Linked DNA regions of Callithrix jacchus. The protein of the gene in region 1 interacts with the protein of each later gene in a pairwise test. Links are inferred from orthologs where the notes say so. Each region holds a gene or a part of one and is shown on either strand. Other genes may lie near its edges.

Region 1 (8,421 bases):
GTACTGGAAACCAGATTGGTAAACAAGGGGTTCCTCGAGCCTGCTACACCCTCAAAAACAAAGAGGAATTTTACTTTGGAGGATGGATCCTGCCTTTCTGCCAGCTTCTTCTTCTTCTTCTTTTTTTTTTTTTTTTCCAGAGATGGAATTTCACTCTTGTTGCCCAGGCTGGAGTGCAGTGATGCCATCTTGGCTCACCAAAACCTCTGCCTCCCAGGTTCAAGCAATTCTCCTGCCTCAGCCTCCTGAGTAGCTGGGATTGCAGGCATTCGCCACCATGCCTGGCTCATTTTTTGTATTTTATTTTTAGTAGAGACAGGGTTTCTCCATGTTGGTCAGGCTGGTCTTGAACTCCTGACCTCAGGTGATCTGCCTGCCTTGGCCTCCCAAAGTGCTGGGATTACAGGTGTGAGCCCCCGAGTTTTGCTTTTGAAGGCACACAAACAAAACACCTTCATGTTTTCACCTGTTTTCCCCAGATAGCACCAGTGAAAAAGATAAGGAGTTTCCTGAAGACCACGTAGCCTTGGCTTCCTGTATTCGGAGTCAGGGATCCCCAAAGGCTACAGGTTCAGAAGTTTCCAGAGCCGAATCTGGATGACTGAGTTCCAAGCACTGACTCACCCTTGCCTCCACCTGCTCCCTTGTGAATCAGCGATCTATCTTTAAGGACTTCTCATCATGTCTCTGATGACAGGTCTGTGAATTCCGGATGGTCCAACAGCTGATGAAGGCTCAGGAGTAGGACCTGGAAACAGGAGTAAAGAAAGGTGAAGAAGTGTGCCAGGTACTGCCTGCTCTTTTGCCTGTCTGAAATCTTTTTTTTTTTTTTTTTCTTCAAGACAGATTCTTGCTCTGTCACCCAGGCTGGAGTGCAGTGGCATGATCTTGGCTCACTGCAACCTCCACCTCCCAGGTTCAAGCAGTTCTCCTGCCTCAGCCTCCTGAGTAGCTGGGATTACAGGCACCCAACACCATGCCAGGTTAATGTTTGTATTTTAAGTGGAGATGGGTTTTCGTCATCTTTGCCAGGCTGGTCTCAAACTCCTGAAGCAGGTGGTCCACCTGCTTCAGCCTTGCAAAGTGCTGGGATAATAGGCGTGAGCCACCGCACCCAGCTTGTCTGAGGTCTTGAGTGTTTGCAGGCATGAATACCCATGTGTGTGTCCCCAGCTTGCTCATAACAATCAAGGGTGCCAAAGCATGCCATGATCTCAGATCAGTACTGTCCAATAAAAATAGTGTAAGAGGGTCCAGTGCAGTGGCTCACGTCTGTAATCCCAGCACTTTGGGAGGCTGAGGCGGGCACATTACCCGAGGTTGGAGGTTCAAGACCAGCCTAACCAACATGGAGAAACCCCATCTCTACTAAAAATACAAAATTAGCCAGGGGTGGTGGTGCATGCCTGTAATCCCAGCTACTTGGGAGGCTGAGGCAGGAGAATCGCTTGAACCCAGGGGGCGGAAGTTGCGGTGAGCTGAGATCACACCATAGCACTCCAGCCTGGGCTACAAACTCTGTCTCAAAAAATATAGTGTATGGGGGCGGGGCAAGGTGGCTCATCCCTGTAATCTGAACTCTTTGGGAGGTAAAAGCAGGAGGATCGCTTGAGTCCAGTAGTTTGAGGCCAGCTTAGGCAACATAGAAGTGTTAGGATCTCCTCAAGTGTGGTGTCCAGGGTCACAGTGAGCTATGATTGCGCCACTGGTTTCCAGCTTGGGTGACGGAACAAGCAAGACTGTCCAAAAAAAAACAGAAAAACGTTGCACAACTGTCAGCCACAAATGTGAGCTCTGTTTGTGATTTTAAATGTTCTAATGGGCACACTCAAAATATAAAAAGACGCCCCAGCACGATGGCTCACTTCTGTAATCCCAGTGCTTTGGGAGGCCATAGTGGTCAGTCACTTGAGGCCAGGAGTTGGAGACCGAACCCAGCCAGAAACTGATGTATTTTTCATTTACAGGGCGTCTCAGTTTGGACCAGCCCCATTTCAAGGACTCAGTGGCCCCATGGAACCACTAGACACCATTCTGGACAACGTCAAGCAGAGACAAATATAGGGCCGAGCAGGCTGGGTGCGGTGGCTCACGCCTATAATCCCAGCACTTTGGGAGGCTGAGGCATGAGCATCACCTGAGGTGAGGAGTTCAAGACCAGCCTGGCGAAACCCTGTCTTTGCTAAAAAAAATACAAAAATTAGCTAGGTGTGGTGGCAGGCACCTGTAATCCCAGCTACTTGGGAGGCTAAGGCATGAGAATTGGTTGAACCTGGGAGGGGGAGGTTGCGGTGAATCGTCATTCTCGAATTGAACTCCATTGAACTCCAGCCTGGGGGACAGAATGAGCCTCTGTTTCCAAACCAAACCAAACCAAACCAAAGTGGGGCGGGGGCTTTCATTAAGAGCGGCAGTGAAGCCATCCCCATAATGGGGCTGGGGCTCAAGGTTGCAGGTTGGGGGTTCCCAAATGGGGAGCTTTTTGCCATCGCACATTCCCTTTCCTTCCCTCCCACTCAAGAGTCTCCTCCCGGAGTGGCCTTGCCATCCAGGCTCCTCAGCCCGCGACCCCAGTCCCTTCCTGGTGTATCCCGGGGGCCGCCCACCTCGGAAGTTAATCCGTCTGCGTCGCCTGTCATGTGGACACTGCTTTGCCTGTCACTCAACTTTTTACCCCGCCCCCCGCCTGGCCGTAACCGTCGCTTACCTTGGTTTCCACAGCGACGCCATCAGGGGTCGGGGCAAAGGGACGCGCGGCGCAGAAGCCTCCTTTGGATTGGTGGATGGCCAAGCCTCTTCTCTTTAGCCCCTCCTGCGCTCGCTCCGCCCCCTTCGGTGGGTCTCGCAAGCTGATTGGTCAATCCCCTGGTGCTAGCCCTGGTCCTGGTTCGGACCTGCCCCAAGGGGCAGGGGCGAAGGTGGTCGCCTCGTGTCCTGATTGGCCGGAGGGGCGCGCGCGGCCGGGAGGGGCGGGGCGGACGCAGAGCCGCGTTTAGTCTCTCGCAGCGGCAGCGAGTGTTCTAGGGACCCTGTGTTGTGTCGCGCTCAGTTAGGCAGCAGCAGCTGCGGAGCTGTAGCCGCCGTGGGAGTGAGCCATGAAGCACTACGAGGTAAGACGCGAGAAACGGGGACCGCGTGGCCACTGCCGACACATTCTTTTTCCTTCTTTGCGGACCATGGGACTCCACTTTCTGGTCCTGAGCCCCAAAGGAAAAGCCGGACGGCGCAGGCGCAGTGGGCCAGCGTTGCTCCCTGGGCCACTCGTAAATTCCAATGCGCATGTGCGGAGGAGGTATTTATAAATCTGCAACCCAGGCTGTTTTGGGGGTGCTTTTTCTTGGGGGTCTCTGCAGGGGCTGGGACGTTTGCAGGTTCCTTGCAGCTCCCTGAGCGGGCTGAGTTGCAGACTTTGTCATGGGAGCTACGAAGGTCCGGGACCCTTGCTCCCAAACCGAGGGAGAGGAGTCTTGCACAAATCTTGCACCACGCCGCCGCCACCAGCGTAGGAAGGGCTTTGCAATCAGTCTTCTTGTGTCCGACCTTTGGACCCCTTCCCTCGCCCGGGAGGTTCCCTAGAGGCTTAGGCGGTGAGGGAGGTGCAGCTCCACGGCTGGATTTCGCAGAGCAGCGAAGCTGATCTTGTTTTCTGGTTATCTAAGAGGTCATCTCCGTCAACCCCCGGGTGTCACCAAGGAGAAATCTTATACCACTACCAGCCACTCTTAAAGCCCAAGTCTTCTGACTCCTAACTTGGATCTCTTTTTCCCTTAAAACGAAGTCTTCTGATGTGCGTATCGCCCTAAGTGATAATGTGATATTGATAATTCAACTACTTATCCCTGAATTATTTCTGCTTTTAAGTAATTATCAAATAATAAAATTTATTATTAAAATTTAAAATAACAGTTGAGCAAGTGCTCACTCTTGTGCTAGTGAGATTCTATTACCTTGTAAAGAACTATTATTACTCCCATTTGTAAGGATGAATAAAATCTCAAAGATATCAAGTGACTTGTTCAAAGGCCCCAGCTGGTAAATGCAGAGCAGACAGAGGAACTCAGAACGACAAAGCCACTTTGCCATTTGGCCCTCAAATGAAAATTAGCAAGCAGGTCGAGCGATTTCTTGTTTCTCCCTTCCCCTCCAATTTAAAAAATTCTGGCAAAATACACGTAACATTTACCGTCTTAACTATTTCTAAGTGTATAGTTCAGTGGCATTAAGAACGTTCAGTTGTGCAACCATCACTACCATCGATCTCTAGAACTCTTTGCATCTTGCAAAGCAGCTGTAGCCATTAAATACTAAGTCCCCATTCCTTTCCACCTCCACCTGTGGCAACCACCATTCTACTTTCTGTCTCAATGAATTGACTACTCTAGGTACCTTACATACGTAGAAGAAAAGAATTTGTTTTCTTTTCAAGACAGTTTTGCTCTTATTGCTGAGGCTGGTGTGCAATAGCGCTATCTCGGCCAACTGCAACCTCTGCCTCCAGGGTTCAAGCGATTCTCCTCCCTCAGCCTCCCACGTAGCTGGGATTACAGGTACCTGCTACCATATCTGGCTAATTTAAAAAAATTTTTTAAAAAATATTTTTAGTTGACACGGGGTTTCACTGTGTTGGCCAGGCTGGTCTCAAACTCCTGACCTCAGGTGATCCACCCACCTTGGCCTCCCTCCCAAAGTGCTGGGAGTACAGGAGTGAGCCAGTGCGCCTTGCCGTTTGTTTTTATTCACAAGTTGAATATTCCTACCTCTGCCTGCTCCGTTTATTATTATTTTTGGAAATTTACCCACAATCCTTTGAAGCCTTTTTTTTCTTTTTGAGATGGAATTTTGCTCTTATTGCCCAGGCTGGAGTGCAATGGCATGATCTCGGCTCACTGCAACCTCTGCCTTCCAGGTTCAAGTAATTCTCCTGCCTCAGCCTCCCAAGTAGCTGAGATTACAGGCATGTGTCACCACACCTGGTTAATTTTGTATTTTTAGTAGAGACTGGGTTTCTTCACGTTGGTCACACTGGTCTCAAACTCCCAACCTCTCATGTGATCCGCCCATCTTGGCCTCCCTAAGTGTCGGGATTACAGGTGTGAGCCACAGCGCCTGGCCCCTTTGAAGCTTTTAATCCGTAAATCCTGTCATTTTTGACACGGTATCAAGAATGAGCAGGTTTGTATTCAATAATCTCTAATGTGTCATTTAAGTTTTCATTCTAGAATAAAGTTCTGGGCCAGGCGCAATGGCTCACACCTGTAATCCCAGCATTTTGAGAGGCCGAGGTGGGCAGATCATGAGGTCAGGAGTTGGAGACCAGCCTGGCCAACATAGTGAAACCCCATCTCTTTAAAAAAAAAAAAAAAAAAATATATATATATATATATATATATATATAGTCCTGATGTGGTTTCCCCTCTCAAACTCTGTCTAAATCTATAGTCCCACTACTGTATTCTCAGCTACTTGGAAGGTTGAGGCGGGAGGATGGCTTTAGACCAGGAGGTTGAGGCTGCAGTGAGCCCAAAAATCAGGCCACTGCACTCCAGCCTGGACAACAGACCCTGTTTCAAAAAAAAAAAAAGCCACCACGTCTGTCTTGAAAGATGAAACATCCATGTGGCATTTTGCAAAATATAGTCGGTTTAGTTTTACTAGTTAGCAGTCAGATAAAGTAGGCCTCTGATTGCCCTGGGGGTGCGCGCTTTTGTTCCAGGAAGCTGGGCACAGCCTGAGACCCAAGACTTGAACTGAAGAATATGCTGAACCATGCTTAATCTTTTTCTCCCCCAGAAAGAAGGGAAAGCTTTGGCCGGGCATGGTGGCTCATGCCTGTAATCCCAGCACTCTGGGAGGCTGAAGTGGCTGGATCATTTGAGGCCAGGAGTTCAAGACCACCCTGGCCAACATGGAGAAACCCCATCTCTACTAAAAATACAAAAATTAGCTGGGTGTTGTGACACACGCCTGTAATCTCAGCTACTTGGAGGCGGACAGAGGTTGCAGTGAGCTGAGATTGCACCATTGCATTCCAGCCTGGATGACAGAGTAAGTCTGTCTCAAACAAAAAGAAGGGGGAAGCCTCAGACTCACTGTTTACAGTGACCTTGGAGGTAAAAAAATAAATTGCTATTTTGCTGTGTTCTTTGTTGTTCTCTACCAGCCTTTGCCAAGTACCCATGGAGGTGATAGCTACAGGGATTCTGGATGGGAAAAGCCGTTGTCTTCCAGCCCAAGCAGATTAGTTTATCTGCAAGAGTTTATTGTAGGTCAATAAAAATAGAAGAGATGCTTTCACTCATATTTAACAAGCAATTTGAGAAAAGATTTATCTACATCAAAGAATATATTTCTGGCTGGGCGAGGTTGCCTATGCCTGTAATCCCAGCACTTTGGGAGGCTGTGGTGGGTGAATCACTTGAGGTCAGGAGTTCAAGACCAGCCTGGTCAACATAGTGAAAGTTTATCTCTACTAAAAATAAAAAAATTTAGCTGGCCATGGTGGCATGCACTGTAGTCCCAGTTACTGGAGAGGCTGAGGCATGAGAATCACTTGAACGTGGGAGGCAGAGTTGCAGTGAGCCGAAATCATACCACTGTACTCCAGCCTGGGTGACAGAGTCAGACTCTGTCTTAAAAAAAAAAAAAAAGGGCTGGGCGCGGTGGCTCAAGCCTGTAATCCCAGCACTTTGGGAGGCCGAGGCAGGTGGATCATGAGGTCAAGAGATCGAGACCATCCTAGTCGACATGGTGAAACCCCATCTCTACTAAAAATACAAAAAATCAGCTGGGCACGGTGGTGTGTGCCTGTAATCCCAGCTACTCAGGAGGCTGAGGCAGGAGAATTGCCTGAACCCAGGAGGTGGAGGTTGTGGTGAGCTGAGATCGTGCCATTGCACTCCAGCCTGGGTAACAAGAGTGAAACTCTGTCTCAAAAAAAAAAAAAAAAAGGAAAAGGATATATTTCAGCCCATTGCAGTGGCTCATGCTTGTAATCCCAGCACTTTGGGAGGCCAAGGCGGGCAGATCACGTGAGGTCAGGAGTTCAAGACCAGCTTGGCCAACATGATGAAACTCCGTCTCTGCTAAAAATACAAAAATGAGCCAGGCGTGGTGGTGGGTGCCTGTAATCCCAGCTACTTGAGAGGCTGAGGCAGGAGAATCGCTTCAACGAGGAAGTCAGCGGTTGCGGTGAGTGGAGATTGTGCCATTGCACTCTAGCCTGGGTGACAGAGCAAGACTCCGTCTCAACAAAACAAAACAAAACAAAAAGAATGTATATTTCTGCTTGATACTAAATCCATCCTCCCACCCTCAAGCAATCTCTTGTTCACTGAGAGATTAGCCCCCTTCAAAAGACTTTCTTGGCCCCTGAAGAGACCTTGGAGAGTAGGAAGTGAAATTTACAAGTGATAGAGGTAATGTCCAGACAGGTGCAGGATGGCTCACTGTCGCACAGCAAATTTATGTCTGATGTCGTGGCAATTGGGATCCCAGCAGTGGGGGTTGATTGGTGGCTATTTCCATAGTAGCTTCATATCACTGCCAATCTCATCTGATATGGGGAGGAGAAGTTATTCGTTCTGTGGCCTGATTGAGGTGAAACCTCTAGAACAGGTCACCTCCAGGCCTTGGCTGAAGCCCTCTCCTTACAATGCCAGAGCAGGCCTTGGCATTGTCTTTGGGTCAGAGCTGGGTCAGTAAGCGAACTGCTTATCCTAGGCTACAGTAGGTTTTTTTTAAAATTGCTGTTTTTGCCACTGCTGATGAGACTCAAAGCAATGTGTCCCCTAGCAACTGGAAAAACAGCTAATGCATCTTGTAAATTCCTGTTAATTCCTGAGAAAACCAATCCCTCTTCTGCCTCCAACAGTCCAGATCACTGCCATTTCCTGCAGCTTAGTACCTGGAGGCTAGGAAGCCTTAGCCTCCTGGGGTCCCCACGACCTGAATTTAGGATATTTTCTTTTCTTTCTTTTTTCTGAGACGGAGTCTCGCTCTGTCGCCCAGGCTGGAGTGCTGTGGTGCGATCTTGGCTCATTGCAACCTCCATCTCCTGGGTTCAAGCAGTTCTCCTACCTCAGCCTCCCGAGTAGCTGAGATTACAGGTGTCGGCCACCACACCTGGCTAATGTTTGTATTTTCAGTAGAGATGGGGTTTCACCATGTTGGCAGGCTGGTCTCGAACTCCTTACCTCAGGTGATCCACCCACCTCCGCCTCTCAAATTGCTGGGATTATAGGTGTGAGCCACCACGCCTGGGTGCATTTAGGATGTTTTCATCCCCACAAAAGTGTCGCTCTTTTGGTACCCACCTTGCAAATAATCCTGGACCAACATAGTACCTTGTCTCAGCTTTCTCCTTAGGAATAAGTGCAAGTTCAGAGGCCACGTGTGGTGCCTCATGCCCGTAATGTCAGCAAC
Region 2 (7,869 bases), on another chromosome or scaffold:
TATGGCCAGAGCTCTGCCTCCTATCAGACCAGCAGTGGTTTTACATTCTTCAACAGTGAGAACCTTGTTGAAAACTGCACATTCAAGGGATCTAAGTTGTGTGTTCCTTATGAGAATCTAACGCCTGATGATCTAAGGTGGAACAGTTTCATCCTGAAACCATCCATCACCACCCAAGGAAAACCTGTCTTCCATGAAACCGATCCCTGGTGCCAAAGGTTGGGGACTGCTGCTCTAAAGACAGCTGGCTCTGGGGTCAGTGTTTTCTCTTTCCTCTGTCTCTTCCAAGACCAAGATGAAAAGCTCATAGAACTGGGTTTCCTTCAGGAGCGCTATCATCACCAGAGGCTGCATGTGGCGCCTAGGTAGTCACTATACCAAGAGCTCAGCAGGAAGAGGCACAGCTCGGCACTGGTTGGCCACTAGAGCACGAAGAGACAGACAGATGGAGGCAGCCCTGGGGAGCAGTTCCTGGAAGGAAGCCGTGCTTCCTAGAGATGTTGGAAGTCTTGCAGGAACTCTCAGGTCGGGATCGCTGGATTTTTGTCAATGTGGAAGCAGCTTGTTATGGATATGATTTCATAATACCCTCCCTGCCCCTTTCCTAGTCATCCAGTATGGTATGTATCTCCTATTCACTCAAATAAAGCCTGTGGTGCCAACTGGGATAATAAGTGTTAGTTACTCTGGGTGTGGTAAAACTGCAACTGTGAACTGCTGCTCTAGAGACTCCAAAATGAAACTAAAAAAACAAAATTAGAAAGGTGGAACACTGTTAGTTAATTTTTACTACTTAAATGTTTAGATGATTTCACGTTTATCTTGTTTGAAAACCAACTACTTTTTACATTTGAAGAGAGATGGCCTCTGGCCACTATGATTCGGGCACTAGAGAGCAGGACTTGATCGTTAATAAAGAGTGGAAAATGAATCATGAAGCAGAACTGTATCCAAGAATTTCTCCAAGATAAATGCTCACATGAAATCTGGTTGTTGTTTTTTTCTCACAATGCATGAAATGCAATTTTCCACAGAGCGACACAAACATGTCGCTTTGCTAGGATGATTCATTCCAATAATGCCATGGAATGAAGAAAAATCCAACTTTGTCTGAATTTAACTTGGGTTTAGGGAAGAACATAGCATCTCTTCTAAATTAAAATAATATTCAGAGTTACAATGGTTACAGAAATAGCTAAATGAGAAGAAACACTAACATTATATGTCCTTGGTTATAACAAGATCTTTTGGCATGTAGATGTCAATCAGGATTTATAATTGAACATCAGGGTTCCACAAAAGGACGAAACTCCTCATCCTCAGAAAGTAGGGCTCACTTCACAGAGACAACAAACATGTCTTTTTCTCTGCCACCGAATACACAGAGAGGCACACTTGATTATCCATATACTTAAGTCTTCAGCGGTACTATTAAAATAATTGGAAACCATCTTGAAGAGAACACTGTGTCCCAATCAGTGCCCAACAAGAAAATGAAAAATTTGGAAAAAATAAATCTATAATTATTTTGTTACGTTTCTAGTTAACTACCAATCCCTTCAAAATGAAGCTAAATGTCTATTTTGATATAGGAACCAACACAAAAGTCTTTTCACCATGTTTTTCAAATACCGTAACAAGCAGTTCTGAACAGACAGAAAACTACAATCCACAGTCAGGCCTTTAATGACTTTGTTGTTTTCCATTCAGTACTTTCTCCAATATATGCTTAACGGAGCCTGGCATTCACAGCTTCAAACCCACATGCTGAGAAGGGCTGCATTTTGGCAACTGTATTGAGAAGGGTTAGTCTTTATTCAATTACTAATGGAAAAAATTCCCTTTGATAGCATTCAACAAAAACCAAGCATTCCTAATAAATTAGATTTACATTTATTTGGATATGGTGCAAAAACAATCAAAGATATTAACTCTAGTTATTGTAGAGCCAAACTTTAAAACATAATTAAATATATGCATAACTGTTCACTTACTTGGAATGTAGGAGATCATTATTAGAATCAGGAATGCATAGTAGTCAAAAGAGAAATTGTATTTGTTCGGTAAACTGATGGAATACAGGCCAGCCTGTCTGACAAAGGGCAGAGCTGCGTATATTGTGAGCAGTTCTCCTGACACTCCCATTGGGTACAGCACAATGAAAAGTGTGTACCTAAAACAAAACACAATATTCATTACTGAGGCTCAAAGCCAGCTCTAGGAGGAAGCTGCACTTCCCACTCTTCTGATCAGTACTAGTCTTTGAGAAAATGTTTGCTTATGTATTTTCCTGTTTACCTGCTATTCAAATTCAGGTTTTACAAGCCAGTTTTTGAAATGAGCCTACAGCAGGTATATGTTTCCAAATGTTCTACGACAAAATAAATGTGTTCAGGCAGCCTCAAAATTTGGTCTGACTAAATAAGCAACTCTTCAAAAGAACGCTCTAAAATAACGAAAGTGATGCCAAGTGCTGGTGAAGGAGGGGAACTGAGTCATAGTTTATACTGAAGGGTCCTACCCTGTGGGCCTTGGGATGGGGTTGGGGCAGAGGTGCTGGAACATGTGGTCTAGGAATTCCCACAACACACAAAAAGACTAAACCAAAAAAAAGAAAAAAAAAAAAAAAAAAAACAGCACAAACATCTGTATACTATTTTTCAAATGTCTGTATATGATACTGTAAAAAAATCAAATATATGCAATTTAAAAAATTTTAAATTCATAATAGCTTTTGGTTACTATGTAATTTTCCAATCAAAACACCTCACAATTACAATTATCATCACGTGGGAGGAATTCTGCATTAATTTTTTTCTCTTTAAAAAGGAGTTCTCCATATTCCACAAAGAATTCAGAGAGCAGTCACTGACCCATGGAACTGTAAGCCGCTGTAAGGATTGCTAAAGGAATCATCAGCTTAGACTTTAAAAAGCCTTTGGCTATTTGTGACTCACAATGTGCAATGGACTACAAACTTCTGGGCACAGGAATTGCATTGAAAATCTCTGAAGAGGAAGGGAAGACATATTCCCCACTGCCAATTTTAGCCACACTAAGTAGGATGTTGGAAAAAAATCTTTCAGAGGCCGTGGAGAACAGTAGACGAAAGAATCTTTCTCCAACAGTAAAATCAAGCCTTGGTCAACAGACTTCCCTAACAACCGGGGTAAACAGCTTTCACAGTGGCTGTCCAGGTTGGTTAGTAACTGCTGTTTCCCATTCTTCCCCTTTCCTAATAAAAATGTTCACTGCAAATGAGAAAAATAATAAAGGAGTTCCCATACTCGAAATGTTGGAAACAATCAGATTATGTCCCTAATTTAATCACTGAACTCATAAACAGTCTAGGAACCATTGCTTTTCTTCCACCAAATAAGGCATTTCAGCTCTGGGGACAACTTGGATCCTTTTGCTTTGTCACGCTCTCTCAAAGAGTTTCCCAGCTCAGAAAACTGCCTGCAACTGTCTCATGGACTATTAACGTAAGCCAGATGAACTACTAGCCTTATACCCAATTCATCATTACTGGTAAAAATAAAGCAAAATCAAAGTGAGAAGCTAAAGCTGCCATGTAATGTTTATTACTTAAAAATTAATTTAAGAGTCACAGCTTCGTGGCAAAATTGAGACTAGGAGAACAGGACTTGGTCAAAAAAAACCCATCACAATGGCAGAAGCTCATCAGTAAAATGTGATGATATGGACAAAAAAGGGATGTTACAGCAAATCTCTATTTATTGTTACTTGGTGATGAAATTTTTTTAAAAAGGAAAATACTGCATAATTGAAGAGAACTGATCCCAATTAAAATAATGTAAGCAAAATATAAAAATCTTAAAGCAGTATTTCTGTTAGTCAAAGTTAAGTACAGACTCTCTCAGATGAAATCTACAGACAAGATTTCTACCCAACCTCTGTGTCAATTTTATTTTTAGAAACTTGGAGGCAATATTTACGCAATAAAGGGCAAATGCATTGACAGATCATTTCAAAAGTAAGCCCTCATTCCTTATGTTTTTTTTACCTGGCCCATTTGATGAGGTAAGGCAGATGGTTTAATAGACTGAATGTATAAAAGGAGTAACGGATGATTTCTGTGATTGTCCAGGCAATAACAAACAGGAGGACACTGTCTTCAGTCTGTACCTGAAGGAAGAGGAAAACAAAAGAAAAAGCAAACACACAGACGTTAATGAAGACGAACTCACAGTGTGCAGTGCCCCACAGAGCTGGGGAGTGAGTCGGCACAGCCGCTAGTGTCTATCTTCAGGGCTACTGTACAGCAGATAGAGCATGTGTGTAGAGGAGCTGGGGCCTACGGTGACAGCTGTGTACAGCCCAGAGATGAGGGCCAAGTGCAAAGAGTCACCAGTCACCAGGAGCAAGAGCAGCAGGGCGGGAGGAACAAACACAAGAGGTGGGGGTTTTGCAGGTTTGCCAGCCTCATATGGAGAACATGGACTGATGTCAGTGGGGCCAAGAGCAGTTAGGTAAGGAGGGTGGGAGGGCAAAGTGGCGGAGAGACTTGGATCCATTACCAAGAATTTTACTTGATTTGCATGACAGCTGTGAACCCAAGGCAATTTTAGAGAAGGGGAATGTAATGATTAAAGCACAAGTGGGCCAGGTGCCTGTAATCCCAGCACTTTGGGAGGCTGAGGTGGGTAGATCACCTGAAGTCAGGAGTTCGAGACCAGCCTGGCCAACATGGTAAAACCCTGTTTCTACTAAAAATACAAAAAAAATTATTGGGCGTGATGGTGCATGCCTGTATTCCCAGTTATTCAAGAGGCTGAGGCAGGAGAATTGCTTGAACCTGGTAGGCGGAGGTTGCAGGGAGCTGAGCTCGTGCCACTGCACTCCAGCCTGGGTGAGAGAGGGAGACTGTCTCAAAAAAAACAAAACCCACAACAAAAAGCACAAATGAAGATGAGGCTAGCTCACAGAGCAAGAGGAATTCCACTGAGGGGAGGGCTGGGGACCACCTGCAAGGTAAGAGCCCATTTATTTCCTCCCATTAGAGACTTCTTCCCCCAAAGGAGGCCGGCATTAACTCCTCCATGATTAGGGAAGCTTCCATGCTGTTCCCAGGAGGCAGTTAGAGCCAAAGAGCTTTGAAATCCCCAGCCTCCTCTGAAGTTGTTTTTATGCTGAAAAAACAATAAATGTTTAAAAGAGCCCTAGGTGATTTTTTAGGAGGCATTCTCTTGCATTGAAAATGTACTGCTGTGGTTTTAACTTTAAGCACCTTCCCCATCCCTTCCCAGCTGGGTTTGTAATGACCTTTTGTGCTTGAAAATCAGCAAGAAATACCCTTGCACCTCAATTCACATTAGTTTCCAGGCATCTAAAAAAAGAGTCCAAGAGTCGGATGTAAATAAGAAATCCCACCCCATAAACCAAACAAATCTTGATGATAAGGTGGACTTTCTGTCCCACTCTTAATACCTAATACAGCAAGGGAATGGCATTCTCGCCGTAACTTTTGCTTCTTTCCATTTGCAATGTTAATAGTTTTTAGCACTTATATTCTTCCTCAGAAAGTGTACATGGAGCGATCCACCTACACAATGAAATAAGTAGTCATTTACATATCTATTAACTAAATTGCTCTGACAAAGAATTTCATAAATGCACAGTTACTATTCTCTAAAAATAATAAGAATTTTATACTGTCAAGAGCAAGAGTACTTTCTGTTTTCCTGGCGCTCTCATATTAGCCAAAGTAAAGCAAAAGCGAAACACCTCCAAAGCTTTCATGGTGAGATTTTTCACTCTGTCCCCCAATCCTTACTTGAATCCATCTACACCGAAATGTAATATTAATATAAAAGCACACTTTGCTTTTTGATGTGTTTTATAATCCTCCTTATCTTAAGGAGTTATGTTTGTACAGCTATGAGTAGAAGAAGCCTTGCCTCAAGAGCTCTAGGTTACAAAAGGAAATTCCTTTAATATTTTGAACTGTAAACATCTTGAAATCAGGGAATGTGTTTTATTCATCTTCTGTTTTCCAAAAGCACTTTGTGCTTTTCACAAGTAAAAGCTCAATAAATAATTGCGGAGCAAATGAATTCCGTCCTAATCAGGTTACTCTGAGACTTAGTTCCCTTCTTTTTGGTGCCTGATAGTTTCTGTGTAGTCTCAGTGGCCTCCAAATAGGTAACAAAGAAACAAACAAACTCCCAAAACCTCCTGCTTTGACCCAGCCTACAGGTTGGTTATTATTCACCTCCCATCCACCCCCAAGTTAGATCTTAGCCGAAGGAACTATGAAAAACTCAGACTCAGGCTAAATATGAAAGCAGTCTGTTCCCAGAGTCCAGCTGTAAAGATGATGGCGTAAGTCTTTTAAAAAAGACTAGGGATGCAGGAAATGACCATTTTGTGCAAAATGATATTTTCCAATCAGTAGGAAATGCAACATTGTTATCAAGAAGGGATATGGATAAAGAGATTGACCTTATCTAATTTACAGATAATTATACAACCAATAACAGAAAACAGGGGCAAATGTAATACATGAGTTAAAGCCAGTAAGATCAATGAGACTCCAACAGGTATTCGTACACTCATGTTTATAGCAGCATTATTCACAATAGTCAAAAGGCAAAGAAACCCAGGTGTGTACTGATAGACGGATAAGCAAGATGTGGTCTATACATACAGTGGAGTATTATCATATACATACAGTGGAGTATTATATACATACAGTGGAGTACTATCATATACATACAGTAGAGTATTATCATATACATACAGTAGAGTATTATCATATACATACAGTAGAGTATTATCATATACATACAGTGGAGTATGATTCAGCCTTAAAAAGAAGAAAATTCTTACACATGCTACAACATGGATGAACCTTGAGGATATCACGCTAAGTAAAATAGGCCAGTCACAAAAAGATGAATACTGTGTGATTCTACTCATATGTGGTACCTAGGGTGAGGCAGAGACAAAAAGTAGAGATAGAAGGTGGCCAGCAGCTGGGAAGATGGGAAATAGAGAATTACTGTTTCATTGGTGTGGAGTTCCAGTTTGGGAGGATTAAAAAAGTTCCGGAGATGGACAGTGATGATGGTTGCACAACAATAAGAAAGCGTTTATGCAACTGAACTATATAAAAGTGGCAAAATGGTGAATGTTATATGTATTTTACTGTAATAAAAAATAAATTAAAGCCCCCCCAAAACAACAGCAGTAACATAAATTTAGAAAGTCTAAATGTAATTACATGACTTAGCAACAACAAAATGACTCCACATCAGAATGGAGAAGACCTACCTTATGAAATCAAGAGATCTGGAGTTTTTGGTGAACCATAAGCCTCACAGGAGCCAACCGGGTGTGAGGTGGCTGTTCAAACAAACAAAACTCCAGGATTCAGCCACATTAACAGTCTTATCCCAATTACTGCACTGTAAATAGATGAGACCCACTTAGGGAACAGAGTCTGCTAGAAGAACTCCTCATTAGCTGGGCGAGGTGGCTCATGCATGGAATCCCAGCTACTCAGGAGGCTGAGGCAGGAGAATCCCTTGAACCCGGGAGGTGGAGGTTGCAGTGAGCCGAGATCATATCACTGCACTCCAGCCTGGTGACAGAGTGAGACTCTGTCTCAAACAACAACAACAAAAACAGACCAACAAAAACCTCCTAAACTAGCAGAGCTGACTTTGGAAAAGGAAAGAGGGTATGTACTTTAAAATATGTAAAAGGATACCATGAACAAGATGGATAAAACTGGCAGGGAGTAAAATGCTGGGTTCAACATAAGAAAAATTGTATAACAAACCAGGTAACTACTCAAATTGGCCACCTCACAAAGTTTTGTGCTCGCAGGCCCTGGACATATCC

What was found.
Region 2: the proteins of TECR (region 1) and HACD2 interact in binary tests that used the Homo sapiens proteins (3 or more experiments, as listed by UniProt). The link is inferred for Callithrix jacchus from reciprocal best matches to the Homo sapiens genes TECR and HACD2.

What each region holds. Positions count from the first base shown.
Region 1 is NC_133523.1:13,303,612-13,312,032, forward strand, and holds the start of TECR (very-long-chain enoyl-CoA reductase), read left to right. Parts: upstream 1-2,990; 5' UTR 2,991-3,095; coding exon 3,096-3,110; exon of another isoform or gene 3,111-3,799; intron 3,800-8,421. UniProt on the Homo sapiens protein: Involved in both the production of very long-chain fatty acids for sphingolipid synthesis and the degradation of the sphingosine moiety in sphingolipids through the sphingosine 1-phosphate metabolic pathway.
Region 2 is NC_133516.1:79,562,770-79,570,638, reverse strand, and holds part of HACD2 (very-long-chain (3R)-3-hydroxyacyl-CoA dehydratase 2), read right to left. Parts: intron 4,150-7,869; coding exon 4,028-4,149; intron 2,174-4,027; coding exon 1,995-2,173; intron 1-1,994. UniProt on the Homo sapiens protein: Catalyzes the third of the very long-chain fatty acids (VLCFA) elongation four-step cycle (condensation, reduction, dehydration, and reduction).